4 linked regions of the Caenorhabditis elegans genome follow. The protein of the gene in region 1 interacts with the protein of each later gene in a pairwise test. Each region holds a gene or a part of one and is shown in the gene's direction. Other genes may lie near its edges.

Region 1 (7,165 bases):
CCTAGAAACCTTTTTGCCTCGTCCCTCGTTCGAAAAAAGTTGCAGCATAAAGGAAAAATAAAAGTCGAGTGAAACAATTTCTAATAAATAATACAACAAATATATAATTACCTCTGCAGAAACACTCGGCAACTCGTATCTCACTGTCGGCGACTCAACATTTGACATTTTATGTGTAATCTGAAAAATTAATTTCAAAATAAATATTGAAGAGAAAATGTTTTAACTTATAATTTTAAATCGTAAAAAACTCCGCCATTTTTCTCACACAACGACGCTCCGAAATAACGCGGCCGAATTTTTGTGAAACTTCGGCCACGTTTTGTGTAATCCTCTCGGGAAATAAATATTGTTAATTTCTTTTCGAAAAAAACTTATTTATTTAATACTTTTAATTATTTAAAATGAATAATTTTCTGAAACACAATGATTGGGCAAGAGATCCTGCATTCAATCATTTCTGGAGACACTATGACTTTTCGAATCAATGGATAAAGCAACATACAGATGCATCACGTCAAGGTAATTGGTTAGCTTCTGTTCTTAAAATGTTGTATATTTTCAGTTCAAATGCAAATGGTCCAGAGAGATAATCTTTCGACTGAACAATGTTTTAGTGACTCTGAAGAGCCGGAAGTGATCGAAAGACTTTCTCGGTGTGAAATATATAGTGAAATTGAGAATGAAGAATCAGATATTGAAGAAATGAGTGAAGAGATGAAAGCATTTTTTGCAAAAACACAAGAACATCGTCAAAAGTGTAAGTTTAATCGGAATTAGACGAATATTTGTTTTAAATAACTTTGTTTATTTCAGTAAAAGAACAAAGAGCGGCAGAAAAACGGAAAGAAGGGCAATCAAGTTCAAAAAGTCAAGAGGAATACGTTAACGTTGATAAAAGTAAGAAAATTGGTTTATTTAACGGTTTGATAAATTTTAATGGGCATTTTTAGTTAGTATACGTGGGCGTATAGAGCAATCAACGGATCACCGAAACGCCAGCGCCGAATTCATAGCAAAAAGAGAGAAAGCGAAAAAAGATTACGGAGAATCAGCGACAAAGATTCTAGCAATGGAAAGTACATTGGCAATGAAGTTTGAATCCGAATATTCACAAAATCCTCAGCTCTGGCCTAATATTCCATTCAGATTTTGACTATTCTTTATATGAAGCTAAAAGCATTTTTCGTGTCTACTGTATTTGTTTTTATGCACTGGTTTTCGAGCCGAAAATGTTTACCTGTTTCGTTAATTATTTCATATCAAATGTTTACCAATCTTTACAGAATTGTAAAAATGGGAAAGAAAAAGTTTATCGAGAACGAGGATGGAACTACAGAAGTCCAGGAAACAGAAAGTGAAGCACCAAAGGATAAAAAGGAGAAGAAAGAATATCGATTGAGAACTCTTGGAGCAAACATTAAAACATCAAAGAAAAGTTTCAAAGAACAATTTTTCATGAATTATGAAGATGGACTCAAACTAATCAAAAAGATGCGCGGAAAGGGAAAAGGAGGTCAACTCGTTCAAAAAGTGATGCCACGTCATATCTCCTTACCTTATCACATGTCTGGAAAAGCTGCAATGGAAGAAGCATGTGATTGGATTGCTCAAAATACTGTCGGAAAGTATAGAAAAGAGTAAGTTGATGAGTTAAAATATACAAAGAGTGTTAATTTTTAATTTTTATTCGTTATTCTCAAGAAAAACATTTTTTTGTATAATGATATGAATGCTGAAAACTGAATAACGATTTTATAATTCACAACGAATATTTATTTTTGATTTCAGATACAAAGGAATCGTCGTAGCCGTTGGAAGTGTCGATCTTGCATCTGCGCCACGTGTCATTTCCGACCAATATGCTTTCCATACCGATGTTGCAATTAATCAAATTGTTTTCATGTAAGATTTTGAATTTTCATAGGGAATTCATTTATTTTTAGACTATCAAAAATGATTCTCGTAATTTCAATAGTTTTGAATTAATTTCCAGCCCAAAAATCGGAGATCAATACGAAGCAAAAGTGAAATATGTGCAAGAAGGTCTTATGGTCGGTGTTGTCATGGATATGATCACAATTCACATTAAGCAGAATGACAAGACTTCAGGTAAATGAAAATTAGACTATTTGAAAACGGAGAAATTTTCAGAAGATCAAGTTGCAATTGATGACAAGATTCTAGTGAAATACAGCGGAATCCGAATCAAAAGTTCATTATGTCACTTGAAAGGAGAATATGTGAAAATGATTGAAAAGTGGGTTCACATTGAAGATTATTATTATTAAAAACTAATATTTTATTTTTCAGAGCCGAAATAAAAGAAGAAGAAGAAGTAGAAGATGAAGCCGATGAAGAAACGGATGTGAAGGAAAAAGTAAAAGAAGAAGAAGATGAAGATGAAGACATGGAAGAATAATCTGTCTCTGATTGTTATTCATTATTTGTTCTAGTAATTTTTGTTGATTTTTGTACTCTTTTTTACCTTTTTGTTATTTTTTCTGTTTTGGTTCTGACTTTATTTTTAATCTTTATGAACCTATCAAATTTATTGTCGTATTTTTTCTATAGTTGCTTCAGTTTTTTAATCTTCAAAGATACTTTGGCATTGTGCCAGCCGTTTTTGTTATTCGTCTACGGCTCTCTTTTCTTCAATTTTTATCCGAAAACGAAGAGACTGAGAGAAAAGTAGAAATCAAAACTTTGTGACAAGGATTTTCGTTCTTTATTCAATTTTTGATATTATTATGACTATGTACTTCCTAGGATATTGATCTCAATAGCTCCAATTAAAAAAATTGTTGGATCACTCGAATATGGAAATTTGAATGAGTTATTAGTGTGAAATCTGAACTTTTTTTAAAGTATTAATATCAGGAGAATATTTTAGCTTTTCAGTTATAAGTTTCTAGTTTCCTAGTCGATATCGTCAAATCATGTAAAATTTTCATATAGCCAGTCAGAAATAAGAAATTTCATGCTTCAACATTGAAATCCAACTTATCACAATTGATAGAAACAATCACTCTTCTTCCCATCTATCAGTTTCATCAAATGCTTAAAAATCATAATTCTCCCTGTTTTCCAACCAGTTTTAATCGATACATGGACGCACCTACAGAACCCCAATTTTCTACCGTACCACTCTTATTCGTTGCGAGACACAACCAACAGCCACCGCCTTTAGTCTATGTCTCTACCACCCAAACACTATTTACCGCATCGTTGCCGCGGTTTGTTCGTTTCTTTTTTCACTTGGTTTCAAGTTTGCTTGGATTCATAAGGTTTTCAGCGTTTTAAATTTGTCCCAGATTTGTGAATTTTCTCATACCATTTCGAGAATAGATATAATCTTTAGCCCAATTGATCAATATCTTTGTACTATGCACTCCGATTTATTATCGTTTTCAGCTATCTTAAAATTGAGAAATACTATTTTTAAATATCGAATCTTACCATTTTTATAGTTAATTCTTCAATAAGCCATGAAAAAAGAAAATTAATTGGTTAGGGTCGCTTCAATTCGTTACCATGTTGAGCAAAAATATAAATTTACCACGTTTTGATGAATGTGAAATCAAGTTGAATTTAGTATTTAACAAGTCCATAAAAATAATCTAATGAATTTAAATTTGAAAAATCCGCGATTTCTGTTTTATTACAGCTCTATTTGTTGAGAAAATTTTTTTTTTGTATTTTCTCCTTTTTTGGTTCAAAAATACATAGTATTTATAATGAATTATTTTACAGAATGGCTTCAAAAACCCGGCGCGGTTCAAGCCTCGCGAAAAAAGAAAAGGAAATCAAAAAAGAAATTGAAGAAGATAAAGAAGTTGCACCGATACAAGAAGAAGATGATGATGGTCCACCACCGATTTTAGAGAGAGAAGCCAGTTGTGGAGAGAATGATGATACAGATGGAGATGGAAAAGAAGAAGATGCACAAAAGGAAGATGATATTGATGGAAGTAAAACGAAGAATGAAAGTATTCTTGAAGCATTATCTCAATTTTTCACCGCAGATGATGCTACTGTCAAAAATCGTCGGAATAGTCCACCATCGGAGTCTTCATCAACCAGAAATACACTTGGACTCAATCGTGGAGGGGCAAGTGAGTTGAAAAAAAATCGTATTCTATAAGAAATATTCGATCTTGAGAAAAATTTGATAATTTTATTTTGCATTACCAGTAAGTAAATGTATAAAAATTTAATTTTTTTAATCGAAATATTGTACATTATTAGTTACTAACTTTGAAGTTTAATATAATTTTCTGGAAAATGCCCAGATACATAGCAATTTCCCTATTTTATAATCGACAACCTCCCATTTTTTAAAATTTGAATTTTCAGTTCCAAAGGCTCTTCTTCTGAACAAAAACCTTCGCCCTGTACCTTCAAAGACACCTCCAATTGCTACAACACGTTTTGCATCTCTTCGTCATCTTTCATCAGCCCCTGGTACATCAGCGTCTACTTCCGGATCACCTTCAGTTGGGATTCGCAAGTATGGGGTCCCACCGCCGATGCCTCGATCTCTTCGTAATATTGCGGGAAGCATAAATGTTGTTGGGTCAAATTCGTCGCTCGGGCCTGCCAGACTTCTTGAAAGCCGAAAAAGACATTTCGATAAGGATAAAGATGGGAAGAACCCGAAAAGATCTTCACTGGTAGCCTACAATGGGGGGAGAGCCGGTGAAAACTTCCGAAAAGTGCCGCCTTCCGCAGTGTCACCAGCTCCAGGATCAGGTTCATCTGCATCTTCTGGAACATCAACTTCATCGTCCAATGGTATAATAGATGTGCAATCAATGCTCCGTGATCAGTCGCCAGTCAGAATGCAAGTGATGGTTGGAGGGGATCACGAAACTAATGGAGATTCAATTCAAGAAGCTATGGAATTGGCTAATGCTCAAAAGGAAAGCATAGGAAATATTGCAAGAGCATCCAGCCATCACAATATGCTTCTTGGTTAGTAATTTAATTTGTATAAAAAATTATAATTTGTTAATTTTCCAGGTTCGATGATTATTAATGGTCTCAACACTCTACAATCTCGGGATAAGGATGAATACACTAATTTCTCATCAGACCTCTTTTCCCTTATCACAAGATATAATATTAATTAAATGTATTGATCGTCACTATATCATTTTTTTTTCTCTTTTCCTCAGACTCTCCAAATTGACCCCGTTTTTAAAATCTACTTCATTCCTCGTTTCCAATAATTGTCCCTTCTTGTTTTATCCATGGCATCATTGAATTGAAAAATAACAAAAACATGATTCAAGTCAGAATATTATTTATAATAAATAAATGATATATTTAATAGAACGTGGATGCTTATTGTTAAGATCGAAAGCGTAGATAACAACAACAAAAACTACAGGAACAGGAAAAAAGAAAAAAGTTCCAATTTTCAATCATTTTGTATTTTATCCGATTAAGAATCGATTTTAGTGATGTCGCAAAAGAAAAAAGCGAGTCTCTCTAAAATCCAGTAAGTCGTTTTGATTCAACACTGATAATTGAAATTTGTTCAGTACTGGAATGAATTCCTCATCCAAGCAAGTCCTCTCATCAACTTCTTCAGCAAATGAAAAAACTGAAGATGATGTGAGTTTCGTTTGAATTAAAGGTTTCGAATATTGACAGTTTTCTGGAACGCGAACTTAAACGCACAGAGTAGGTTTTACAGCGAAATAAATTGTCCTGGTAACTTTTCTAATTTAGCGATATTCTTGAATGGTCTTCGTGTTTACGTTAAGATTACGATAAGTTAAGCCTACTGGAGCTGTGGCTATATTACGTAGACGTCTACATAAAAATGAGAATTTCCGTCAACTTACGCGGCAGTGTCTCGCCGCGCGAACAACGAAATACTGTAACTTGTCAATTCTGGGTCGCTATTGCATAATATTTTTATTTGAAAAAAATCTTGGCGCTTCATTGGAAAAAGATATTTAGCGGTCCATAGATCTACACGAGCTACAGTAACCTGCTGTGGCGAGGTATATTTATTTGTGCATGAATTCTGGGCGGCTTTCACTTTAAAATCTGGATATATTGAAAATTAATATTTTTCAGGTCGGAGATGAAATGGATTTTTCATTACAATGTGATGCATGCAAGAAAGTAAGATTGTTTTACAAAATGCAGGTTTTTGAAAGATCAAACCAATTATTCCAGTTAATCATTGGGTTAAACAATTTGGATCGTTTTGATTGTGGGCACTTCTACTGTCTGGTGTGTAGTCCACTTCAGCCAAAAGGTAACAGAAATTGATCAGAAATCTGATAAAAAGAGTTCAATCTTTCAGAAAACCACTCGTCTTGTGCCACTTCGACATCTCCGTCAAATGCTTTTACGCGTGAAGTCTCACCGCAACAAATTGCTGAGCATACTGGAGAATTGTCGAATAATGGAGCTGAACGTGGAAAGATTCGAGGAAGTACTCGTGCTACTCGGAAAGGATCTGTGAACAAATCAAAAAGTGGAAGGACTCGTCGACATAAGAAGGTTCCGGATCAACGTCTTTGGTACTTTTTGTACCTTTCAAAGCCAGTCGTTGTCAGCCTTCCAACGGATGCCACTTATCGTAAGCTTAAGAATCTAAGATTTTTAAACAATTATATCGTTCAGACGATCTGATGGCTCGACTCTACACGCTTCTTGGTGTCAGCGGTAAGACCCATATGATTACTCTGAGAACTCAGAAATCATCGAGTGAAGAAGGCGAAGGCGAGTTTTCTGGTCGAGGTGACCCGGTTAGTTTTTTGATATTCTGAATATAAAAAGATAAGGATGATTGTAGGCTCCTCTTGAAGTCGGCGATTCGAAAACTCGTCTCAGTGATCTAAAGATTACACGTCACAAGATGCTGCTCCTGGATGTAGATGATCAGAAGAAAGATGGAAGTGGTGAGGAGAAGAAAGAGAAGAAAAGTGCGGAAAAAGAAAAGAAAATCTCACACGAAAATGTTCAAAGTTTGAGTCCGTCGAGTCGTGCAGAAGATCCGAGATCATCTTGAAATGTCTCCAGTGTTCCAATAAATCTTTGCAATCTGAATCCCGAATTTTGTGCAGAACATTTAAAGTTAAAATTGTTTATAACAGTCAATAAAATAACCATGAAGATCAATATGAAAGAAATGGGGGAGGGG
Region 2 (8,118 bases), on another chromosome or scaffold:
TTAAAGCACTGTAGCTTTTTTCAATCTTATCAGTATCGAATATGAATGAAAACAAAATATTCACATCCATTCCAAAAATTATTTACCATAGTTTACATTTTGCTCCAAGAATTTCTATGAAAATAATCTTACGGTGATATGATTCTGAGAAGAAATTTAATTTTCTCGAATTTTTTCAATCAAATTTTGATAAGTTTTTCAGTAGTCTTTCACATTTGCCTTTTCAGTACTTTTTCCTCCAGTTTTAAACATATTTTCATTTTCAAGAGACAAAAGGTTTGAAAAATATTCTCTTTACTTTTGAACTAATCTATTATTGTATTTACGGTATTCTGTTTTACGAACCTCTATAATTTTCGTAATGGTAACTTGCATTTTCTCTAAAATTTCAAGTTTGAACTATTGTTTATTACTGTTTCTCAAATTTTATAGAACAAATTTTAATGTGAAAAGTTCCGACGTACTTTTAGAGTTAATGAAGCTTTCGTTGTTTCGTATGAATCTCTTGTATTAAACAGAATAATTTATCAGTACTCATTAACAAGACATCTCCAATTGACTGCATAATACCATCATTATAATTTTATCTCTATACCTCTTCTCTCTCCCTCTCATTTTCCGTTTATTTATATACTATATCAACTACTTATACGGGCACAAGGTGAGGTAGAGAGACACCCTCCTATCACCCACAATGTGTTCTCCATCTCATCAAATGTATGCATACAATCATCTCTCGTTCCGTTTTGGCGGAACGTATACCTATACCTCTTTTTATTTCTCTTTATTGATATTAAAAGGGCATCGGAGGTATAAAAAAGGAGTGTCATCAGCGACGATGATCATCGATTATCATGTTTTAAGACTCTTTCTAAAGGTTCTTTTGTTCGAAAAGTTTGGCTTTTTTTTTAGCCCTTTTCCTCCAACTTTACAACAATTTTTGTATGCTAGTATAATAAATTCGTGCAACCTTACCAGTAGTTTGCAAAAATGTAATATACACTCATCCCTTTTCCCAGTTATTCTCGATTTGGTGACAGTAACCGTGAAATGTGAAATTGAAGTTCACATCAAATGTATTTTAACGGTCATCGCGCACCAACTTCCATTCCTTCATTTTTTCACATTCTAATCTTTGTTCGGTTGAACGAAACACGAGGTGAAAACTATGATGGGAACCACAAAAAAAGAAAGACGGGAAAGTTTTCTAGGTCATTTGGAAGTGTTGGTGTTTTCTCCAAATTTTATTACTGTTTCAAGGTGTCCATAAATGGCGAGGGTAATTCTTTTGAGTAATTAAAAGTGTTCAAATGTAAGTTTTAACATAACCTTTGAAAACTATTCACTTTCAGAATAGAGTTTAGTAAACTGAAATCGTATTTTGAATTTTCAGGCCATTGTCGATATTTTCCGTTCATACCCTCTAACAGTCTTGCATCGCAATATACCAACCACTTTTTCCAACACTTTAGAACGTTTTTTAATTCAACTTTCATAGACCTTGTTTTCAAAAATAATCTCGGCATTTCAACTCTTTGCCAAACGTTTGCTAGTATTGATTATTCAATACTCAAAAAAATTCTCAAGTAGTTTATGGCCACCTTGAAACTATAATAAAAATATGAGAAACAACCAAAATTTCCAAACGGTGGATGCAACACAATTTGAAACGTTAATATATTATTTACAAAAATATTAGCATTCAAGGGGATTTGCCAAACTTGGTTTTTTTTTAAACTTCAGTGCGGCCTCAACCGATTTTCGCTCAAATCTTACCCAAGTTCGGCCCAAGCTTTGGCAACTTCTGGGCCAATGGTATCTTTTTCGGGCAAACGTTTGACATTCTGATATCATGATATGCATTCTGTTAATGAACCTTCTCCTCCTCATCCCCTTCTCATGCACCATCATCACCATCACCGGCTGTCTTCCGTGATGTGAGGTGTCTGTCTCTCGTCTCACTCACACATGCGCATCATAGGGCACCGACGCAAAAAAGTGTCAAAAACGATTTATTGTCTTTTCTCGTTCGGTCCTCACCATTGCGCCCCTGTCCTCAATGCGTCGCTTTTTTGTGCGGTCTTCTTCTTGGAATTATTACCGTTTTAATAGGCGTTGAAATTCTGTTGGAGCAGGCTTGAGAGCGGAAATTAGAGTTCATAATTAGTATCTTAGTATCTTATAAGAGTTCATAATTAAATAGTAATCTAATCATTACATCTAAGACTTGAAAAAGAGCCCTCAACTTTTGATCTACCGCAACTCTATTCACCTCTATTAGATTAAAACCAACTCCAATACCCTCCAGGGACTTCCAATCTCTAACCGATAACATCTTTAGTACCGATGTATCATAACACCTGTCACCCATAGACACACACACATATATAGACCCTTCCTGGCCGAGATGAGGGGTACATAAACACATGCGGTAAGACTGTTAACCCCGCCCTCAAAATACTGCTTCTCGGTCTGCGTCTCACCCTTCTAGTTGATGTGGGAGGATCCTTGTAGCTTTTGGGTTCTGATGGGAGATATTCCATGCGGTTCCGGTCAACGCCCTCCACATTAGTTTCACTTTTGTTTTAAGTTTTCAATTTTCACAATTTCATTCTTACCGCAAAATGAGTCATTTTTTGTACGCTATACACATTCTGGTGTTCTGGTAGTACAGGGTGTTGTTGCGTTCAATATTGAAATCGTGAAGTGATGGCAATTTCAGAACTGCTACAAGAGCTTGAGCAGAAATCATTTTCATCTTTACAGAAATTTTCAAACTAGGCATTCTACGCCTTCCTATATTTTTTCCAACACACATTTATATTTTCTTACAATAATTTTTCTCCGCTCTCACAAAAGCTCGAGTTACTTGAATATTCGAAATAGTTTTTTCATGGCTCGTTTTTCTCATTTTATTTTTCTCAAAAGATTGTGCCAGCAATTTTTTCCTTAACAACAAATAACAGTTGTAATTACTCAAAAACATTACCCTCGCAATTTATGGCCACCTTGAAACAGTAATAAAATTTTGTGAAAACACTAATACTTCCAAAGGACCTAGAAAATAGTTTATAAAAATATCCTCAAGTACCGAGAGTTTGTGAAAACATGACGTGAGACTTTAAAGGTGTCTTCTACTCCTCTTGATGGATCTTGCCACAATCTCTATAATAGAATAATGCTTCAAATATAAATTATGAAGCGTATGTAATTTTCACATTCTAAAATGCACAGGAACTATCATGGTAAATTTTGTTACTTTTATTACTTTTTTGCGAACACACTACCGCAAAGTCGGAATCAACAGTAAAACTTTAGATTCGTTGAGATCTTAAAGTTCTTCCTTTGAGATGTTCCTATTAATCCATTAGTTACCGTCACTTTTCCGTTATTACCAGTATAATGACAGAGACAAAACGGGGCGGCGTGCGCGACGGCAAACAGTCATTCCTCTATTACAAGGCCATATCAAATTAGCATAAACACACGTCTCCCGATTCTTTACTATTTTTCATTCTTCAACGGGACGTCGTCTTCTAGTTGAAGATTTCGGAATCTTTTTCTCTAATTGAATCAACATTACGAAGAAGACGATGTCCTTTTCTGCAGTGAAATGAGAAATGAAACGGTCAGATGTCGTCGTGGGGATTTACGGGGCAATGGAGAGACCGGTCTAGTTTTGTGGATGATGGTGATGGTGTTGCCAAAGTGATTGACATTTTTATATGGCAGCAAAAAGGTTATAGAGAGGGACTGGTCTTCTTTTCACACTTAACACTTAACACACCCTTTTTTGGAGGCTTTTTTGAAGTGATTTTGCATACACTATTTTTCTTTTTTTCCAAGTCAACCTCAACTTTATCGTATAATTTGCCATTCTCTTATGAAAATGTGTTATTTTCAATTCATAGTCCCTATTTCAGATGAGCGAACGAATTCGCCGTCGTCGTCTCGAAGCATCGGAGCAATTCGCACCGCAGCTCATCTCATCACGTCGAGCTCAAGGTGGTCTATCGCCTGCTTCGAGAATCCGAATTGCAGCTGATGCTCACAGGCATTCAACATCTGATGATGACAGTGGATGTGCTTTGGACGAGTATGCATGGGTGCCTAGTGGTCTGAAGCCGAATATGGTAAGTATAGAGATTTTGAATGATCTCGTGTGCAATAAAGAACAATTGAATTAGGTTTTTGAACACCAAAACCTAGACCAATTAAAATGTTCACAACCTGTGGACCGTTCAAAACAGATGGTTTTTTGTGCACTTCAAATACTGATTCAAATTCAAATTCAAATTCAAATTCTTACAGGTTCATGCCTACTTCGCCTGTCTCCCGGAAAACAAGGTACCATTCATTGGATCAGCTGGAGAAAAATGGCGACAACGTCAATCACGTTATCAACTACCACCACAGGATTCTGATGTTAGATATTGTGAAGATTTAAATGCAGAAGAAGCGGATACATTGCGAATGTTTGAAAGAACTCGAAAAACTGAATGCCTGGGAAGTGGTGTTGTTCAATATGCTCCATTTGATACAAAATGTGAAAAGGTTAGTATTTTCCATCAAAATTTGTTTGGTTTTATTGAAAAATCGTCACCCGGCCTTATTATGACATTCGACCCATTTGAGCACAACCGTAAATCTTGCCAAACTGTGGCGTATGAAACCATAAACAACATTTTCTTTTTCGTCTTTCCGCACCATCCCCAAAACTCATAAATCTTTATGCGCGAGCGCTCTCTTTCCGCGCACCATCATCTATGCTTATGCTGGGATGCTCCTCATCATCATCTTCACGGCTTCTTTTTTGTCGGGCGGCTTTTTGCCTTTGCATTCCCAACGTGTAGGCACTGTCTTACACTTGAGAATAAACAATGACGGAAATTTGAGAAAGGTCATGCTCATTAACAACGGCGAGGGCCGTCTGCTCTCGGATAGTCCCACTTACGAGAGTGCGGCAAAAAAGTTCTGAAGAATGAGAAGAAGAGGTTGTTGACCTCGATGGGGGAAGCCAGCTGCTTAGGTGTTAGATTTTTGTACGGCATGAGAATAGTTGCAGCAACTTGAAAGGGACAAATGGAATCATGAAAATTCGTCGAAAAATAAACCTTTTTTTTTTAATTTTCTGATATCGTTTTTGAAGGTATCGTCAGTACCGTAAAAAAAGCTTCTATGTATAGTGTTAAAATGTTCAAATAAATTTTTGATTTTATTTTACATACAGTCAAAAAGTGGGAAAAACTCATTTTTCATTACTATAATTTTGGAAGGCGTTCAAAAATACTTTCTACGAGTTTCCAATTTCGTTTTAATCGTTTGTATTTAAACATTTTAGTTGTACGAACCTGCTATTTAAACATTCTAGTAGTACGAAACTATGCTCAAAATTTATTTTTTTAAATTTTAACATTTTTTGAAACAATACACCCATACTTTAACTGAAACTTTGAAAAAACTGAACATTTTTGAAGTATTTAAATTATGATATGTGGTTTTTTGTGTTATAATAAGTGGATTTCGAATAAATCTCCACTGACGATAATTTCATTCAATGGCAACCGACTGTCTGCAATTATTATTGCAACATCTAAATATTGGAGAGAAATAGAGAAACAGAGATAGAGTCATAGACAATATGCAATTATTGTCAATGTTCATCCATCTTTCTTTTACTACGAAGCTCCGGCTGTTTGTCAGAGGAGAAGCTGAGCAGCAGCAGTCACTGCTAATTACCTATGCATCGTTACATGTTTATTAATAGGAGAGACAACGGGGCTCATTGTTGGGGTTAGCTTGGATTTTCGTTTTAGGAATTTAGAATTTTTGCTTTTGAATTTCCAAGGGTTGCTAGGGGTCTAGCTTAAGTTAGTAAATGTAAATGTTATGTACAGTAATATACTCAATTTCCGCTCCTTCTGCTCGTTCTCTTTAGTTTGTTCATTGAGTTATAATCTGATTAGAGCCGTCTCAGTGTTAATCTAATCCGGTCATGGGTAGATGGTAGGTAGATCAAACAAAGCTTCTTCCGATATGCGCGCGCGGGGCGTTTTGATCTAAACACTACTCATAACAAGATTAACAAGGAAAATGAGAAGGAAAGCAAGAAGTCAATTATAGGGTGAAAGAAACAGTATATTTTTGGAAGGGAAGTGCCGAACAGATGGTCTTCCTGGGTGCCATGTTACCATGTCATCAATCACTTTTCTTAGAGGATCCCTCTCATAGTCAGGGGTTTTCGCGCATTTGATACCCTTCGCCCAGTTGGTTGCCCCTCCAAGTATCTGGTTTGAAGACCTGAATTAGGAGACATGGGAACATCTGCCTTTTGTAGACAATTCAGGCAGTGTCATGTTGTTTTCTGAATTGGATGTGTCAGTTCCAATTGTTACCCGTGTGCGTGTCAAGGGTACTTGTTAGTTGTTGATAGTTTACAAGTAATTATCGCCGAATATTGAGGATTAGCTGAGTACAAGAACTTGGAAAACAAAAGTATTGAAGTTGTGAAATAGGTAGGTACGTCTTCACTACCTTTCTACGTGCCTCCCAGGCGTAGGCAGAAGACAGGCAGTTTTTCCCTAGGATTACCCTGTCACGTTTTTCTGTTTAGAGGTGTCTGTTGCCTAATCCATTTCAAAATTTTAGGTGTCTGGTTGTCAGATTAGACGCGAGGTCTTATCAACTTATGGTTGTACATGTCTGTTGTTAATGCGGAGGTTACTTAACTTATAACAGAAGAGAAAATTCACAATGTGCACACTTTAAACAACTGAGAATTTAAATATTTGATTCTTAAAAATAAATTTAAATTACAACTACCAACAAAGATTCTAAGACGGTCAAGAGGGTAGCAGTAGGGGCATACCATCTTGTATTTACATAACTATAGAAACACATGGAGAAACTGAACCACCGGCTGGAGGATGCACTTGACCGTATAATGTTGCTACTTATCTTGTAATCTAGTCCATATAAATACTTTTTTGCTTTCATTAAAAACACCTGCTCGAGACGGCGGGGAGTATATTTTGTGGAGACTGTCCTAACAATAAAATGAAGAATTTGGACGATTAATTTTATTTGTTTCTGAAACAGTGAAAAATATCTTGTACTACATGTTGTTAATGCATTTCTTTTCGCCAGATTTTGCATAGCGAAAACGCAACAAAATGTGAACAAATTGTATGTGACAGATTGAGATTTGAAGATGAATTTGAATGGCACATCTCATTTGGAAGATGTTGGATTTTAGATCTTTATCATCTCTCCGGATTTCAATGAGAAAATGAAAATGAAATTGAGACACAAATTACAAATTAACTCGTTCTGGAGTAATCAGGATTATTCAATTATTCAACAAATTTTGAAAACACGACTAGAATATGTAAATTTTCAGTGTCCAAAACGTCTTGAAGAAGGAGAAATCAGTGTGATGGCTGCAAGAACTGGAAAAAGATATCATCCATCGTGTTTTCGGTGTCAAACGTGTGATGTTCTACTTGTTGATTTGATTTATTTTGCACACGACAATCAGGTTAGGAATTTTTTAAAAAGTAATTTTTACTATCAGAAATTGAATTTTTTGGAAGATATAGACAATGTGTCAATGGTCAATACATATAGTCAATTTTATATAATCAACAACAACCCAAACATTTTTAGATTTGTCAAAAATGTTCGGTAATAGTTTTGCCTAATTGTCAAATTTCTCATTTTAAAATTTGATTTAAAATTGAAAAATTTCGAGAATTACTGCAGACTCATCATCTCTACAAAAAAAATTTTGGGATGTCTTACGATGTTATTTGATCATTCTATTTTGAGACCGTGATAAAAGTTTTATAAAAGTTTATGTTTTTTTCACAAAACAGTAAAAATTTGCAGATCTACTGTGGAAGACACCATGCTGAACAGGTCAAGCCGAGATGTGCCAAGTGTGATGAGGTGAGTAGCACTATTTTTGTACTTTATATTCCCTTTCTACTATAACAATTGAACCATCCATTTTATGGCCCCCTTACACTGTTTGCTTTGAGTTTCCGATACATGTGGTGTGCAAACTTTTATGATAGGCGATTTGGTGAAACACCAAGCGCCGGCGGTTGGAGGAGAAAA
Region 3 (8,139 bases), on another chromosome or scaffold:
CCCTGGTTCCTACATCAGTTTTGAAAAGCAAGCAAATTCTATGAAAATATTCAAAGAAAACGGGAAAAAATTTCAAAAAGGCACAGTTTTAAGTGTTTCCGTCTTATAAAAAATCCCTCTAAACATTTCCGGCAAATCAGCAAACCGGAAAATTGCCGGAATTCAAATATCCAGTAAATAGGCAATTTGCCGATTTGTCGAATTTGTCGACAAAAAAATTCGCGCGATGTTAAAATCGAAAAAAAAACTTTAAAAAATTGAGATTTTGTCAGTTTTCTGCATTTTCCCAAAAATTTCAAAAGCTTTACGGTTTTCAAAAAAAATAATCGAAAATCAGTTCGATTTTTTGGTCCAAAAATTTTTTTTTGGTTTTATTTCAAAAATATTTCGAAAAAATAAATTTTGAGTCCTTTTTATCAAAAACAAGCGCGAAAAATTGATTTTTTGAAGGAAAAAATTGAAAAATTCGATTAAAAAAGTGTTATTTTGATTTTTAGACAAAAAAGTCTCGAAAATCGATTTTTATTCAATTTTTCCACCAATAAAACGAGATTTTCTTATCCTTTCCAAAAATGGAAATCATTTATTGTGACCGTTATTACTGTAACACAAAACTCGTAAAAATGCGTATTCCGTAACATATTTGACGCTCAAAATATCTCGTAGCGGAAACTACAGTAATTCTTTAAATGACTACTGTAGCACTGGTGTCGATTTACGGGATCTCGATTCTTGACATGAAAAAAGTAGTTTCTTTGTATTACCTATTTTCTCACTTTTTGCTTAATTTTTAAATCTTAAATTAAATTATTTGAATTCATTTCAAAAATCGAGCCCGTAAATCGACACATGCGCTGCAGTAGTAATTTAAAGAATTACTGTAGTTTTCGCTACGAGATATTTTGAGCGTCAAATATGTTGTGCAATACGCATTCTCACAACTTCGTGTTACCGTGTAATATCCGTCATAATGAATGAGAAAGCGTGTCAAAAATTTGGAATTCTCACATTGTTTTCAATCTAAAAATTAAAATTACACTTTTAGTTCAAAAAATTCGATTTTTTTTCAATTTTCGTTTAAAAAACCGAGATTTTAATTTTTTTTTCTTTTCAAAAATTGAAATTTTACACCTTTTTTTTTCAAAAAAAATTTCGAAACTTTCACAATTTTTTCGCATTCTCAGAATTTTGCATTTTCGTATTATATATTCCTAAATATGTCATCTCGATCAAAATATAAATTTACGAGATTTTATTGTTTTGGCCGCGTTTTTTTCTGTTCACAGGTCATCAACGCATTGAAGAGGGGGGTGGGGGAGGGGGACACGTTCGAAAAGTGATTGATCTTTCCCGCGGCGGCGCTCGATAGGAGACACCACTGCGATGACTCATTCGGGGGAAACTCACACAATTGAAGAAGTGAAAATTGAAATTCACTCCACGTTTTTTTTCAAAATTTTTCTCCACATCTCCCCACTGATAACAGAAGTTTTTGACTTTATTGCCCCACATTTTCCACCATCACTGCACAAACAATTCCTTATCGATTTTCGCCTTTTTTTTTGGCCGTTGTTTGGTTTTTTGACGTTACCTTGGAAATCTTGAAAAAATCACAAAAGTCTTTATTTAATTTTAAAATTAAAAAAAATTGTGATTTTTTCCAGAATTGTATCCGAGAGCCGCCTTGAACTGTTTTTTTTGTTGGACACTCGCGGATCGAGGACAAATGGCACAAGTTGGTGAAGTTAGTATATTTCGTAATCTCTTTTTTTTTTTTTTTGGAAAATTGAGAAAATTGTCGAAAAAGTCATGAAAATTGCAAATTTTTTGGATAAAAAAAATGAGAAAATTGCCATTATTTGATTAAAAAAATTAAAAAATTCCGACTTTTTAGAAAAAATAATTCGATTTTTTAGTATTGAGATTTTTAAAAAAGTGTGAAAATTTTGTTTTTTTGCAAATAAAAAACATTTGAAACATTTCCGTTTTTGGAAAAAAAAATTGTAAAAATTAAGATTTTTGGGCAAAAAACGTAAAAATGTTATTTTTTGATTGAAAAGATTTAGAAAAATGCGATTTTTTTGTCAAAAACAATTGGTAAAAATAAGAGTTTTCGGAAAAAAAGTGTGAGAATTTTGATTTTTTTTTAAAAAAACAGATTGTAAAAATTATGATTTTTTGAAAAAAAAGTTACAATTTTTGGGATAAAAATATGGGAAATTTTGGGATTTTTTAGGAAAAGTGAAAATTTTTTATTTTTTCCAAGTAAATGTGTAAAAACTGCAATTTTTAAAGAAAACATATGTAAAACAAAAGAAAATCGGAAAATTGTGATTTTTTGAAAAAATAAAAGACTTCAGATTAAAATCTTTATCTAAAAATTGCCAATTTTCAGACAGAAGTAGTCGCTGGAAATGTGCGAGATATTGTGAATCGACTTTCCCGAGATATGACAAATCGAAATCCATTTACAGTACATCAACAGGTGGAACGGAGAGGTTTGTTTTAGAAAAAAGTTGGAAATTTTGAAAAAAAAACCGAAAAATTTGAGAATTTCAGTCGAAAAAATGAAAAAAAAACCGGAGATTTTCTCATTTGTGAAAATTTTTCTTTTTAAATGTTTCTAATTTTTAAAATTTAATCACGTTATTTCGAGCACCAAATCTTTAAAAAATCATGGAAATCGTGGCGAGACCCATTTAATCCAAAACCGGCGCCTTTAAAAAATGTTTGGATATTTTTTCAGTATGTATAATATTTGAAAACTGGAAGAAAAACTATTTTTGACGAATTTGAAAAAAAAGATAAAATTACAAGATTTTTGTAGAATTTAACTAGAAAAATGTTCAGATTGGCCGTTTTTTTGCTCCGAATTTTCTAGAGCTTTGGTCCGAGAAAATAGGAAAATTTCTCAAAAAGCTCTAGAAAATTCGGGGAAAAAACGGCCGATCTGAAAGTTTTTCCAATTAAATTCCACTAAAATCTTGTAGTTTTATTAATTTTTTTTCAAATTAAAAAAGATGTTTTTTTCTTCCAGTTTTCAATTATTATTATTATAACACTGAAAAAAAGATCCAAACATTTTTAAAGGCGCGGGGCTTGGATCGAATGGGTCCCGCCACGATTTTCGTGATTTTTTCACGATCTGGTGCTCAAAAACTCGTCGAGGGACAATATTAAAATAGCTCTAACAATTAAAAAAAAATCATGAAAATCCTGAAAAAAAATATCTAAAAAATTCGAAAAAAAAAATTAAAATTTGTGTAAATTTACAAAAAAATAATTTAAATATTTTTTGCAGCTCCCCCTCCACAACCACAAGCTCAAATATACGTGGCCACGTATGCCTACAGCTCAAAACAAGACGATGAGCTAAGCTTTGTCGTCGGAGATCTCATCGAACTGATCTCTGATGTTGAAGATGGCTGGAGTAAGGGAAAACTCAAGTCGACTGGAGCCGTCGGAATGTTCCCGACGAATTTTGTGACGTTGAAGCCTACGCCGAGCACATCTGCTGCTGCAGTTGCTCCAGCGGCTAGTGCATCAACTTCGGCGGGCTCAGCAGCTCGAACTCCGGCAAAATCGATTGGAAGTGAAGTTGTGATGAGAAGCGAGCCGAAAGCTATTGATAGAACTCCGTCGACGGTTCGTGTAGCGAAAAAAATCTGAAAAATCCCAAAAATACAGATTTTACTTAAATATCGGTGCCTGAGACATCAGTTTTTATGGCAAAAATTCAAATTTTTGGAAAAATTCAAATAATTTAAATAATTGAAAATCAACAATTTTTTGTCGATGAAATCCGGAAAATTGGCAATTGCCGGTTTGCCGACTTGCCGGAAATTACGATTCCGCCATTTTACCGATTTGCCGGAAATTTAAAAGTTCCGGCAATTTGCCTATTTGCCGATTTATTTTTTGATTTTCAGCTAATTTTTCATTCAAAAAATATAAATATCCAAACATTTTTTTTTTAATTTGTTCCAAAACTCTTTTTTTTCAGCTTTTAATTGTAAGTTTCTGGTTAGAAGTGAAAAAATTTTTTAATTAAAATTTGTTACATTACAATTTTTTATTAAAGTTATCTTCGACAAAAACAAAAAAAAACTGAAAAATTAAATTTTAAAAAACTGAAAAGAAAATAGTTTTTTTCCAATTAAAAAATTCCATAAATGGCTTCTCAGCACTTTATTCAAACATTTTTTAAATACAGAAACTGAAGAATTTCACTTAAATCAAATAAATCAAAATTTCAGATAATCTCGGACCCGGCTCCAGTGCTCAAAGCCTTGGAAACCAAATTCAGCAGCACATTTGCGAGCTCTGCAGCCTCGGCGAGCACAGACGCAGAAACTACGAAAACGAAAGAAATGGCTCGCGTGAAATTTGTCTACAATCCCCAACACGATGATGAGCTGGCTCTTAAGGAGATTGATATGCTGATTAATATTACAAACAAGGTGCAAATTCACTGAAATCGGAAAAAAAAATCAGGATTTCTGCAATTTTTAGATAAAAAGTTGGAAAATAAAATGGGAAAACCTTAAAAAATCGGCGAAAATTAAAATTTTGGGTTTTAAAATTGTTAAGTAAACTAATAAACTAATATATTTTCAAGCAAAAAAATTAAAAATTTGAGGAATTTATTCTACAAATTTCAAGTTTAAAGTCTAATTTTTTTTCCAAATTTTAGACTTTAAATTTGAAATTTGTAGATTAAAATCCCCAATTTTTAATTTTTTTTTTCATTATATTTGCTTGAAAACGTCATATTTATAATAAACTCCAACTGGAAAAATTATAAGTTTAACAGAATTTATCAAAATTCAAATTTTCGCCGAATTTTTTATCCCCAAAAATTTTCAGAATTTAAAAAATCGAAAATTTACTAGAAAATTTCAAGAAATTTTTTAAAGTTGTTTTTTAAAAGTTTTTTTTTTGCTAAAAATTTGAAATTTTTTGCGCAAACAGTTTTGACTTAAAAAATCTTAACAAATTAAAAAAAAATTTTTTTGAAACGCTGCTTTTAACAATTTGAGAAATTTTATTCAAAGAAAACATAACCTAACATTTATTATTTCATATTAATTTTTTTAAAAAATTTTTGCAAAAAAAATGTCTGAAAAATTCAAAAAACGGCTCTTCAAATCAAATATTAAACAAAAAAATTAATAAAAATTTGGAAAAAAATATTTCTAAAAAAAATCGATAAAAAAATTGAATACCCTGAAAAATCCGGCAAAAATTTTAATTTTTGGGTTTTAAAATTTCCGAATTAGACTTTAAGTTGGAAATTTGTAGATTAAAATGCCAAAATTTTAATTTTTCTCTTTTTTTTTTGCTTAATAACAATTTTAAAGTCATACTCATGCGAAAAATAAATATTCTAAATTTTTATGATTTTTTTAAAAAACAGTTTCGACTTAAAAAAATACATGGCCTGAAATTTATAATTTAATATTAATTTAAATTTTCAAACTTTTTTTGCAAAAAAAAAAAAATTCAAAAAACGGCTCTTCAAATCAAGTATTAAACAAAAAAAGCTATTAAAAATTTGGAAAAAAATTATTTCCCAAAAAAATTCAAATTTCTACTAATTTTTTGCAGAACTGCGGTGACGCTGGATGGTTTGAAGGTGAACTGCACGGAAAGAAGGGCTTATTTCCGGATAATTTTGTCGAATTGGTTCAAGTCCCACTGGGAACGGAATCCGGTGCCAGACATGGGTCGATTTCACGTCAGGCGACATTGACGTTTGTCTCTCACAAACCACCACCAGTCAATCCACCACAACCGGCTGTTCCACCGAAACCCGCGAAAATTTCAGTGGTGAGGAGGGGATTTATTGAGAAAATTGAAAAAAAAATGTTTCACTTTATTTCTGGAAATAATTAATCCTAAAGTTGTGTGATTTTTTTTTTCTGAAAATTCCTTTTTAAAAAAACCGAAAAAAATTCTGAAAACACTCCAAAATCGGTAAAATTCAAAAATTGAAAAAAAAAAAAAACTAGAACATTAATATACATAGAAAATTCGAAAAAAATTGGAATTCGCCGAAAAAATTGAAATTTTTTTCCGTTTTATCGATTATTAGCAGGAAAAATAAAAATTTAGGTTTTTTTCGCTGAAAATCGAAAACTTGCCAAAAAATCCAATATTAATTTATTTTGAAAATTAATATTTCCATAGAAAAACTTTTTTTAAAAATCGTTTTTTTTTAATTTTGAAATATTTGTTCAACAAACAATCTTTATTTTCCTGTTGAAAATTAATTTTTTAAATTAAAACTGGTGATTTTTAATCTTAATTTTCAGTTTTCAAATTAGTTTTGGTTAAAAAAAACCGGCAATTTCCCGAAAATTTCCGGCAAATCGGCAAATTGCCGGAATTAAACATTTCCGGCAAATCGGCGAATTGCCAGAATTCAAAATTTCCGGCAAATCGGCAATTTGCTGGAATTGAAATTTCCGGCAAATGGGCTAATTGCCGGAATTACATTTTCCGGCAAATCGGCGAATTGCCAGAATTCAAAATTTCCGGCAAATCGGCAATTTGCTGGAATTGAAATTTCCGGCAAATGGGCTAATTGCCGGAATTACATTTTCCGGCAAATCGGCAAACTGCCGGAATTAAACATTTCCGGCAAATCGGCGAATTGCCAGAATTCAAAATTTCCGGCAAATCGGCAATTTGCTGGAATTGAAATTTCCGGCAAATGGGCAATTTGCCGGAATTCAAAATTTCCGGCAAATCGGAAAATTGCCGGAATTCAAATTTTCCGGCAAATCTGCAAACCGTCAATTTCCCGAAAATTTCTTGCAAATCGGCAATTTACCGGAATTCAAAATTTCCGGCAAATCGGCAAATTGCCAGAATTCAAAATTTCCGGCAAATCGGCAAATTTCCAGAATTCAAAATTTCCGGCAAAGCGGCAAACCGGTGAATTGCCGGAATTTAAAATTTCCGGCAAATCGGCAAATTTCCAGAATTCAAAATTTCCGGCAAAGCGGCAAACCGGTGAATTGCCGGAATTTAAAATTTCCGGCAAATCGGCAAACCGACAAATTTGCCCACCCCTGTTATGTAATAAAAACTTTACGAAAAGTAGGTAATCTGAGAGCCGACGCCGAAATTTCTTTACGACGGGGGCACCTCTCATGAGTTTAGAAAAAAACGATGGAAAAATCAAATCTCCACCTACTCAGAATATTATGTGAGAGACACAGAGACACCTCATCCTCCCACGAGAGAAAAATTCGTTTTTTTTTTCTGTCTCCCGACATACACACACACACTGAATTCTCGATCATTGGGGAGAGCTGTCGGCGTCTCTCACACATTCCCTCACTTTTTTTTTGCAATTCTAATTCAATCACTACAACAAGAATTCCAGTAAATGTTTTTTTTCCTAGTTTTTAGACTCTTTTCCAGTACAAATTTTCGGCGCCATTGAATTTTTAAAAAAAATCAGAGACCACATTATTGTGTGCAAAATAGGATGATAATTTGAACATTAATTTCCAGTCGCTGTGATTGAAATAAGTTGACGAAATTTCAAAATTTTAAGGAAAACTTTACTTTTTTTTCCAATTTCAAGCTGCCATTAAAGCATTTTTCGAGAATTTTTGTTTTGGCCAGTTTTAAAGGTGGAGTACCGAAATTTGAGACTTTGTCTTTTTAGACCCAAATTGGTCCAAAACTACCGAATTTCGTAATGAGACGTTCTGAAAATTTCTCAAAAAAAAAGTTATGGCGGTTCAAAGTTCTGCAAAATAAGGCCCATTTTCAGCTAAAATCAAATTTTTTCCAACTTCTCGGTGTTGCAACGTCTGGAACCTAATTTTTATATATTCATCACTTTTTAATAAATATTGTGGTCTTTGATTGGGCGTTTATTCGTTGTTTTAAGCACATTTCTGGTCAGTGGGACACAAATAAAAGTTACATTTTGTGCCCGTCTGACCATAAATGTACTTAAATCAACGAATAAACGCCCAATCAAAGACCGCAATATTTATTAAAAAGTGATGAATAAATAAAAATTAGGTTCCAGACGTTGCAACACCGAGAAGTTGGAAAAAATTTTGATTTTAGCTGAAAATGAGCTTTATTTTTCCGAACTTTGAACCACCATAACTT
Region 4 (8,118 bases), on another chromosome or scaffold:
AATTGGCTGCATTAAGAGTTTTATCTTCAATAACCAATCATTCTGTACTCTCACTTCCATCTCTTACCTTCCTCTACTCTTATCAACGATTTGTGAAGATGATGCACTGTGGTGATGTACTGGACTGTGTTCAACATCTGATACCGCTTATTATGATGCCTGATGTTCCAACTCAGTATTACTATGATCTCTTCGATTATTTAATCACGATTATCAAAGAGGATGGGCGTGCTGGAATCCGATTTTCCAAGGAGATTCTCTATGAGCTCTCAACCTTTTTGTCAACGTTTACGCTTGATAAACATCGAGATTTGAATGATAATTATATGAAAAAGGTAAGTTTTATAGACATTTTTATGATCATATAATTATAAATTGTTACAGGTGAAAGTGCTCAAAAAGATGGTAATGCTCAAGTTGACAGACTCGATTGCGAAAGGAATTGCGTGCTCTTGAATAATTTATGAATTAATTTTATTTTATTTACATTTGCCGATGTTCTTTTTTGTTCTGGGATCTCAGAAAATTTAATTTTTTGTATGTGAATAAGGATCACATCTCTTAATTTTTTTACTATTACTTGGTTTTCCACACAAACTCGTTGAATTTCGAGGCCAACCTACCTTCTTTTCGAGTTTTCCCCAGAGATCGATAGTGACCTATGTGCTATGCAACCGTGCCCCATTGCACGTCCACAAGGCCTCGTCAGCTCCCTCGTCCTCTTTTTTCTGTTTCGACAGAAAACTGCTGGAGTTTATGAATTTATGTGGGCGCACATGACTGTGATCTATTGATTTTCTTCTGCTTTTTTCAATAATTCTGAACCATTTCACCCAACCTGTACCCATAATTTCAGGCAGTTGTGTGCTTTGCGCGCAACTCGGCCAGTCATCGACGTGAACGCCACGGCTTCTGCTCGCTGGCGCCAACTCGATTCCACTTCGGTGAGTTATCATTAAAATATTATCAAAAAAAAATTTCTTTTGATTACAGGCAGAGTCTGGTTCGCAGTCAGAACAAAGCGCTAGTTTGTCTGGATCAGAAGTCATGAGTAGTTCGGAGGAGGTTTGTATTATATTTCTATTTTCTGCGGAAAACAATCAGAAAAATCTAAATAGCCGTTTTTTTTAATGATTTATATTTTAAACTATGAATTTAATAACAAGTTTTATGGTCGATTGGTGAAATTTATTTTTAGTTTCGAATCTTTTTTTTTGTTCAGGTATCATGGATCACATGGTTCTGTGGCCTTCGTGGAAATGAGTTTTTCTGTGAAGTCGACGAGGAATATATTCAGGATCGGTTCAATTTGACAGGTCTCAATGAGCAAGTGCCCAAGTATCGACAGGCTCTTGACATGATTCTTGACTTAGAACCAGGTGATATTTTTGCTGACTTCATGTGCCCCCGCAATGTAACCTTTTTCTAGAAGATGACATAGAGGATAACGCAACGAACACTGATCTTGTTGAACAAGCCGCTGAAATGCTTTATGGACTCATTCACGCTAGATATATTCTTACGAATAGAGGAATCTCACAGATGGTCGAAAAGTGGCGTGATCATGACTTTGGAGTTTGCCCACGTGTCTACTGTGAAAATCAGCCAATGCTTCCAATTGGTGAGTTATAAAAAAATCGCTACTTCATTGGTTGCGGATAATTTTTTTTGAGAAAAGTGAAACTATAAAGTACTAAATTTTCCTAATTTAAAAGTGCATTTCCAATAAAATTTAAAACAAATATTTGTTTTTACACTAAAATTTCTGTAAAATTCCAATTTTTCCAGGATTGTCTGATGTTCCTGGCGAGGCTATGGTGAAATTGTACTGTCCACGTTGCAATGATGTTTTCGTTCCACGATCATCACGTCATCAACATACTGATGGAAGCTATTTTGGCACCGGATTCCCACATATGCTCTTCTTTGTTCATCCTGATCTGCGTCCACGCAGACCAGTCACTCAATTCGTTCCAAAGTATGTCAGAGGATATATATTAAGCTAAATATTTGAAAATCCGAAATTCTAATTTAAAAAATCTTTAAAATCTCGGCAATCGAGTAAATCTTTTCATTTCAGTATACCAATTAAACTTTTTGAATAAAAAATGAAGTAAAATATTTGCTTGATTCGAAAACACAACTTAATAATGTTGGAAAATTCAAAACGACTAGTGTCTGAAGGTTATTTTTTCGGCATTCGGCAACTTTCAGGCTCTATTTGAGATCTTTTTTCAAATATTTCAACAAGAATAAGTTGCAATTTCGAATCAATAAAATATTTTGACACATTTCTAAAATCATTTTTAATTCAAAAAGTTGACTTGGTAGACTGAAATTAGAAGATTTACTCTATTGCCGAAATAAGTTGGCTGTACTAAATTAGATTCGAAATAATTTTAGAAATTAGAAGATCAAACAATAATATTTTATCCACTTTAAAAATTTAGCAGAACTTAGTACAATAATAATTATGTTATGTGTAAATTTTTAAATATCAAAATTTTCAGACTCTACGGTTTCAAAATTCATCCTGTTGCTTATGGAGGACAGGAGGGAAACAGCGGCGGAAATACGGCGAATAACGTTGCCGCAGCACAAAACAACACGACTCCAGCCGGGCAACAATCTGGAGGACAATTCAATAATTATGGTCTCTGAGCCACTTTCTTCCTTATTTTTGTTTTGATTTCTTCTTTCCAGTTTCCATTCAGAATGTCCCCCCTCTCAACACAACATCCTTATTTTCTTCATTGTTTCGTTTTTTCTTCTCCCCAAAATTTTCTTTTCCGACAAAACTCAAGAATCCGGCGGTTCTTCCATGCGTGTTTCTCTTCTTTTCTAAATCTGTTCTATTCCAACATTATGCGAATTTAAGAAATGAATGAAACGGTAGATCCCATACATCTCAAAAAGAGTGTTCCTAATTTTCTGTGTAAAAAGTGCAACGTTATTTATTTGTGCCTGTCTTCGTCACGCGGAAACAGCTGGGCGGGAAAGTGCGCTCTACTGCAGTCTCTCAGTCACAGCCTTCGATTCTGCCATCGACGTCATGTGTTTCTTTTCTTTTTTATTTACTATTTGAACGGTTTTAATATCTCCAGTTGATTTGGTTAACGATTAGCACATTGATTTCTGCTTATTTTGAAATATTTCAAAATTACAATTTTTGAAAACGCTCCATATTTTACCTGAAGAAAAAACTTTTGAACAGCTTTTCACATTAATTCCAATATATTTTTAAATTATATTGCATAAACGTGAAATTTTGCGAGGAAAAGGCGATACCCCGGTCTCGATACGCCTTTTTTGTAAAATAAAAACGGACGTGTACCTTTATAGAGTACTGTAATATCAAACTATCGTTGCTGCAAAATTTTTATCGATTTTCAGTGTTTTTCGGTAAAAATGTATTTGTTAAAAAAAATAATAAAAGAAAACGACACAAAATTTTTACAAATCGTGGGAAAAAGTATGAAAAGTCGATAAAAATTCAGTAGCAATGAACGTTTAAAATAACAGTACTTCTTAAAGGCGCAGACCCATTTGTTTTCAGAAAACAATCGTCGCGCCCAGACCGGGTACCGTACTATTGGCGGAAAAAAAATTTAGAAAAGAATATACCAAGTAAATATCAGTTCTCAATTTTAATATATATTTTTCTTGTGAATCATAGTTTAAAAATTCTTCTTTGTTTTTTCTCCAACTCTTCAAAAATTAAATAAAAGCTTTTACAGCTTTGAATCATCGAAAATGAATGGAAAACAGCAAGTCACAAAGAAACCATCAACTGAAGAAGATCTGAGCTTCACGGTTTGTTTTAAAGTCAAAAAATCAATAATAAATATTTTCCAAAGAAATTCAAGGTTGTACCAGATGTTGGTCTAAAAAGTTCACAATTCGAATTTGTGCTTGGTATGCCAATCAATCAATGTATTGCAATGATTCAGCAACATCCAAGAATGCTTACAAAAGTCGAATTGAAGTACAGTAAAAAGGTATAGAAATTAACTAATTATACTTTTAAATAAAGTTAAATTAAATTCAGGATCCATTCTACCAGGATATCATCATCTATATCGGTTCTACAGGAATTCGTCTCTATTTTGATGGCCTTTCACAGCTTATCAAGCTAATTGAAGTGGATAATCTTTCAATGATTACACTTACTTATAAGTATGATACCATCAAAAAAAAAAAACTACAGAAGCTCGTTTAAAACTATTGAATTTAAAACAAATTATGGCGTTTTGAAAATTCGAAAAATTTCAGCCTTGCATAAAATCTGAAAATTGAAAATTCTCTCTGTTGAATTCGGTCGTTTCGGGTCATTGTGAAACTATCAAAGAAAAAAAATCAATTTCAATTGCCAAGATAGTCATACAATTTCTTCATAAAAATTTTCAGCGATACAATCTTCTCTGATCCAAATAACATGGCGACGTTGGATCGGGTCAACGAATTTTTTGGATCGACACATCCAGGATCATATGATGATAAGCACAATATCTATGTGCAAAGTTGGCCGGGATTATCTTTCTGTTTCCCATATGGAGGAGAAAATTCGAATTTGGAAGTCAGGGTACTGTAGTTTGATCTTTTTGGGTATTAAAGTTGGAGTACCGTCTGTGGGTTTTTTCGAATCAAAAATACGATACCGAATATAGTAAAAAATTAAAAGAGTTTTTTCTAACCTACAGCCGCTACTTCACCTTTAATTTCCAAAAAGTTTTTTATATCTCCCAAAAACCGAAATTTCAAACATTCTTCAATTTCAGCCTGGATTTGGTGGAAATCTTCGTTCGCTGAAATATGATGCCAACTCTCAACCAAAACTTACCAAGATGTCCATTTATCGTGGACCAAATCCATCTGAGCCAGAGTGAGAATTTATTATTTATTTCTATTTATTTCTCAAAATTTGAAGATCCGTGGATACTCCATTCTCGTGTTATTGTGGTCAAAATCGGACGAGAAAAGTCGAAGCAATTTGGGAAAATGGGAATATTGTTGGAATTGATATTCAATTTGATACTCAAAGTACTGGAATTTTTTGAAATTATTAAAAAAAGTGAATATTTGCAGACGGAAGAATTGTCGATGGAGAGTATGATGTATCCACGTACACACGACAAATCTATTTTGGAGACTCTGTTTCGGTTGGTTTTCTCAATCAAAAAAATTTGTTCTAAAAATTTAAATTTTAGGATGTGCAATCGATTCTTGGAGCCCCGACAAAGGTCTTCTACAAGTCCGATGACAAGATGAAGTACGTTCTCGTTCTCTTGAAAATTCAAATTCTTTTCTCACAAATTTAGATTTATTTTCAATAGATGTTGAATTTTCCACTGAAAATTTAAACAATTTTTGAAGAAAAATTTTCTTAAAAAAAGTTGAAGGGTTTCAATGTAAGCGTTTTATATCAATTAAAAATAATTCATATAGCATTTTGTTGATATTCAGCAATATCCAATGAATAAATTAAAAAATTGTGAAAAAAGTTCTTTTTTTTCAAAATGCCTGAAATTTATTTAACAACTTTCCAACTAATATTTAAAAAGGATAAATTTTGAAAAAAAAAGTTAAAAGATTTCAGAAAATTTCATTAAAAAAATATTTAAAAATTCAGGAACGCCTAAAATTTCTCGAAAACTGAAGTTTTTAAAATTTAACCATTAACAGTTTCTAGCTTTATCAAAATTTCCGCTTCATCTGAATATTGAAAATTTCCAGAATTCATCGTGGACTTCACAAGGAGACACTCTATGGACCACCAAATTTCTTCTTCAACTACTTTGTAATGGGATTGGTAAGGTTTTTAGGGATTTAGATTACTGTAGCAATTCTTGCTATTGGGTACTATATTTTGTCTGTCAATGAGTCGAAGTTAATGTTCCAATCCCTTGTAATTGAACATATCCGGGAAAGGGATCGCTAATGCACACGCAATGGCTATTGTAGACAAATCTTTCTTCCGCATATGATAATAATCTGGGTAATCGTAGTGGTGGCTCCCTCTTGCATGTCCATGGCGTCCGGAAAGATTTACGACTCTGTAGAGAGAGAGAGAGAGAGAGAGAGACTCTTCGTTTGTGACACTTGTACGAATTTTCATCTGCTACATTTAACAAGAAGACGACTGAATTACTACTACACACTAATGACCTTCGTTTTTTGACACCGCACAGTTTATTTCATCAAGCAGTAAAGAAACTGAATGAGAGGACAAAGAAGGTGTCAATTCATTTTTTGTCGGAAGATGGATCAGAATTTCAAAGAAAACACAGCTATGGTCAATGATGAAAGCTTTTGTATGATTGAAAATTTCCTGCGTCATGGTTTCCTGAAATTGTAGTCTTTTTAGCTCATAGAAAACTTTTACCGACGCTCACGATCCTTACACAGGTGATTCGCCGTTTATGGACACCAACAGTAGGCTTCTACCCACAATGGATCTATACCAAAGGTTTTGGGTTTTGAATTTGTCGTCGATATATTAAATCTTCATTAACAAATTCCCCCGGAATTTTGAATATGAGGCAGATGTGCTGCCATATAAAGAATATTTATACAAGAAAGATGTCAATTAATTTAAAACCACGCGCGAACATACGATGGCAAGTCTTGGAAATTAGCTTTTGTAGTTTCAACAAGACTACTTCTTTTTGATCCAAGAAGCTTTGGTTGACTTCCAGAAGATTGATGCTTTTGTTTATTGAATCGTAGAGAAATTCGATCACAAAATTGTATACTCAAACTGAAAGTATACAATTTTATTGACTGTTCAAAAGCATAGAATAGTGGTAATTATCGAAAGAGACGGATGTTTACATGTGTACTTGTGCGACGAACACCGATCCGTCATTTTTCATAGTTATGTCTTGTTCTTCGTGGTCATCTATCCAACTTAATTGGCATTGGCTTACTCCAATTGTTTTGGGTGTCACTTGGGAATCTAACGGATGAGACGACGTGTCATAACAGATTGTGCAATCTACATCCACGAATTCGCGCGCGTGTGCACATACATACGCACATCAATTTATTATTCGAATGGCTCATAAACTCATAAATTAACGAGTCCCTGTCGAACAACCAATTTTCAATTCATAAACGTCAAAATTTTGTGGCTACGGAGATTTTCCCGCGGAGTTTTTTTAAACGAAAAAGTCAACTCTCCTTCTCGAAACCTTCTCAATTATGCATTTGTCTTGGTGTGCATTTGACAAATGAGTTGACCCCCACAGAGAACCAGGGCGTAAAGACAACAGCCTCGCCGATTTATTACTTCTTTGCCGACGGATTTACGGCCGAGAAGAGGTGTCTTACCTCTTGAAAACTACTATTATGCTGCTGATTAAGGCTCCTGTCTATTTCATTGAACTTGGTATATCTACGAGCAGTTTATTTTATTTACAGACAAAGGGTTAAACAATTGAACACCGTATCGAAAAAGGGGGCAAAAATACATGAAAATGGGGCTGGGAGATCGAACGACTAGATGGATGCAAATAATCACACGGATTTAGATTTTTGAAACATTTGAAACTCTCAAAAGGATATTTAAATGCCAAAATAGGATGATCCAGGTTTTGGAGGTGCTGGTGGAATCAATGGAGGAGTGGCTTTAAATGTTTCAGTACTAACCAAGAATGGATCAAATGGTGGTGATAATGGACCATGTGTATCATTTGTACTCGAAGAGCAACTATGTGTGTTTGCCATCGTGAGTGGAGTTCGAGAGTGTTCTCGTGTCACATATGATCCTTTGTACTGTCGCTCACGAAGGAAATAGATGCATCCAAGAATCATAAGAAGTAGTGCGGCAAAAAGGAGAACTCCTGCGAGAAGTATGAGCATTTCACTTGTTTGCGTTAATCCATACCGTGCACCAAACAAAACGGCACAGTCGTTTACCTGAAGTTTTTAAATAGTGAAATTAATAACGTGAATGTGAATCTTACGTCGGTAATTGCCAGAACTGAATGACCTTCCACAAGCGATGGTGTCGCGCATCGGACATTATCGTAGTTGAGAATGTGTCTCATCGCATAACGATCTCGCATATGAACCTGAAAAGATGTTCGAATTAATTCAGAAATAAGAGAGGAAAAGACT

Evidence for each region.
Region 2: the proteins of F10E9.3 (region 1) and prkl-1 interact in a two-hybrid assay, tested with the Caenorhabditis elegans proteins (one large-scale study listed by BioGRID).
Region 3: the proteins of F10E9.3 (region 1) and cdap-2 interact in a two-hybrid assay, tested with the Caenorhabditis elegans proteins (one large-scale study listed by BioGRID).
Region 4: the proteins of F10E9.3 (region 1) and phaf-1 interact in a two-hybrid assay, tested with the Caenorhabditis elegans proteins (one large-scale study listed by BioGRID).

Annotation. Positions count from the first base shown.
Region 1 is NC_003281.10:8,307,254-8,314,418, forward strand, and holds F10E9.3 (uncharacterized protein), read left to right. Parts: upstream 1-3,753; 5' UTR 3,754-3,754; coding exon 3,755-4,115; intron 4,116-4,356; coding exon 4,357-4,974; intron 4,975-5,022; coding exon 5,023-5,132; 3' UTR 5,133-5,334; downstream 5,335-7,165. Other genes in the region: F10E9.5 (uncharacterized protein), read left to right, coding at 405-522, 566-760, 817-900, 954-1,156; F10E9.4 (uncharacterized protein), read left to right, coding at 1,297-1,640, 1,792-1,905, 1,997-2,112, 2,155-2,260, 2,314-2,422; F10E9.2 (uncharacterized protein), read left to right, coding at 5,466-5,503, 5,547-5,619, 6,091-6,138, 6,193-6,274, 6,323-6,601, 6,646-6,770, 6,818-7,033.
Region 2 is NC_003282.8:6,982,741-6,990,858, reverse strand, and holds the start of prkl-1 (LIM zinc-binding domain-containing protein), read left to right. Parts: upstream 1-3,923; coding exon 3,924-4,133; intron 4,134-4,311; coding exon 4,312-4,554; intron 4,555-4,649; exon of another isoform or gene 4,650-5,083; intron 5,084-5,524; exon of another isoform or gene 5,525-5,676; intron 5,677-5,949; exon of another isoform or gene 5,950-6,103; intron 6,104-6,311; exon of another isoform or gene 6,312-6,662; intron 6,663-6,787; exon of another isoform or gene 6,788-7,135; intron 7,136-7,288; coding exon of another isoform or gene 7,289-7,399; coding exon 7,400-7,537; intron 7,538-7,807; exon of another isoform or gene 7,808-7,828; intron 7,829-7,887; coding exon 7,888-7,947; intron 7,948-8,118.
Region 3 is NC_003279.8:3,324,199-3,332,337, reverse strand, and holds the start of cdap-2 (SH3 domain-containing protein), read left to right. Parts: upstream 1-1,664; 5' UTR 1,665-1,726; coding exon 1,727-1,744; intron 1,745-2,395; coding exon 2,396-2,498; intron 2,499-3,301; coding exon 3,302-3,645; intron 3,646-4,256; coding exon 4,257-4,460; intron 4,461-5,607; coding exon 5,608-5,829; intron 5,830-8,139.
Region 4 is NC_003279.8:8,283,744-8,291,861, reverse strand, and holds the start of phaf-1 (PHAF1 protein T01G9.2), read left to right. Parts: upstream 1-3,737; 5' UTR 3,738-3,753; coding exon 3,754-3,813; intron 3,814-3,857; coding exon 3,858-3,998; intron 3,999-4,048; coding exon 4,049-4,176; intron 4,177-4,407; coding exon 4,408-4,582; intron 4,583-4,778; coding exon 4,779-4,882; intron 4,883-4,927; coding exon 4,928-5,040; intron 5,041-5,085; coding exon 5,086-5,159; intron 5,160-5,207; coding exon 5,208-5,269; intron 5,270-5,733; coding exon 5,734-5,809; intron 5,810-7,384; exon of another isoform or gene 7,385-7,563; coding exon of another isoform or gene 7,564-7,917; intron 7,918-7,964; coding exon of another isoform or gene 7,965-8,072; intron 8,073-8,118. Other genes in the region: npp-2 (Nuclear pore complex protein Nup85), read left to right, coding at 1-335, 385-456; kin-10 (Casein kinase II subunit beta), read left to right, coding at 1,048-1,065, 1,223-1,379, 1,430-1,621, 1,789-1,978, 2,511-2,661; dma-1 (LRRCT domain-containing protein), read right to left, coding at 7,564-7,917, 7,965-8,072. UniProt on the Caenorhabditis elegans protein: May play a regulatory role in autophagic activity.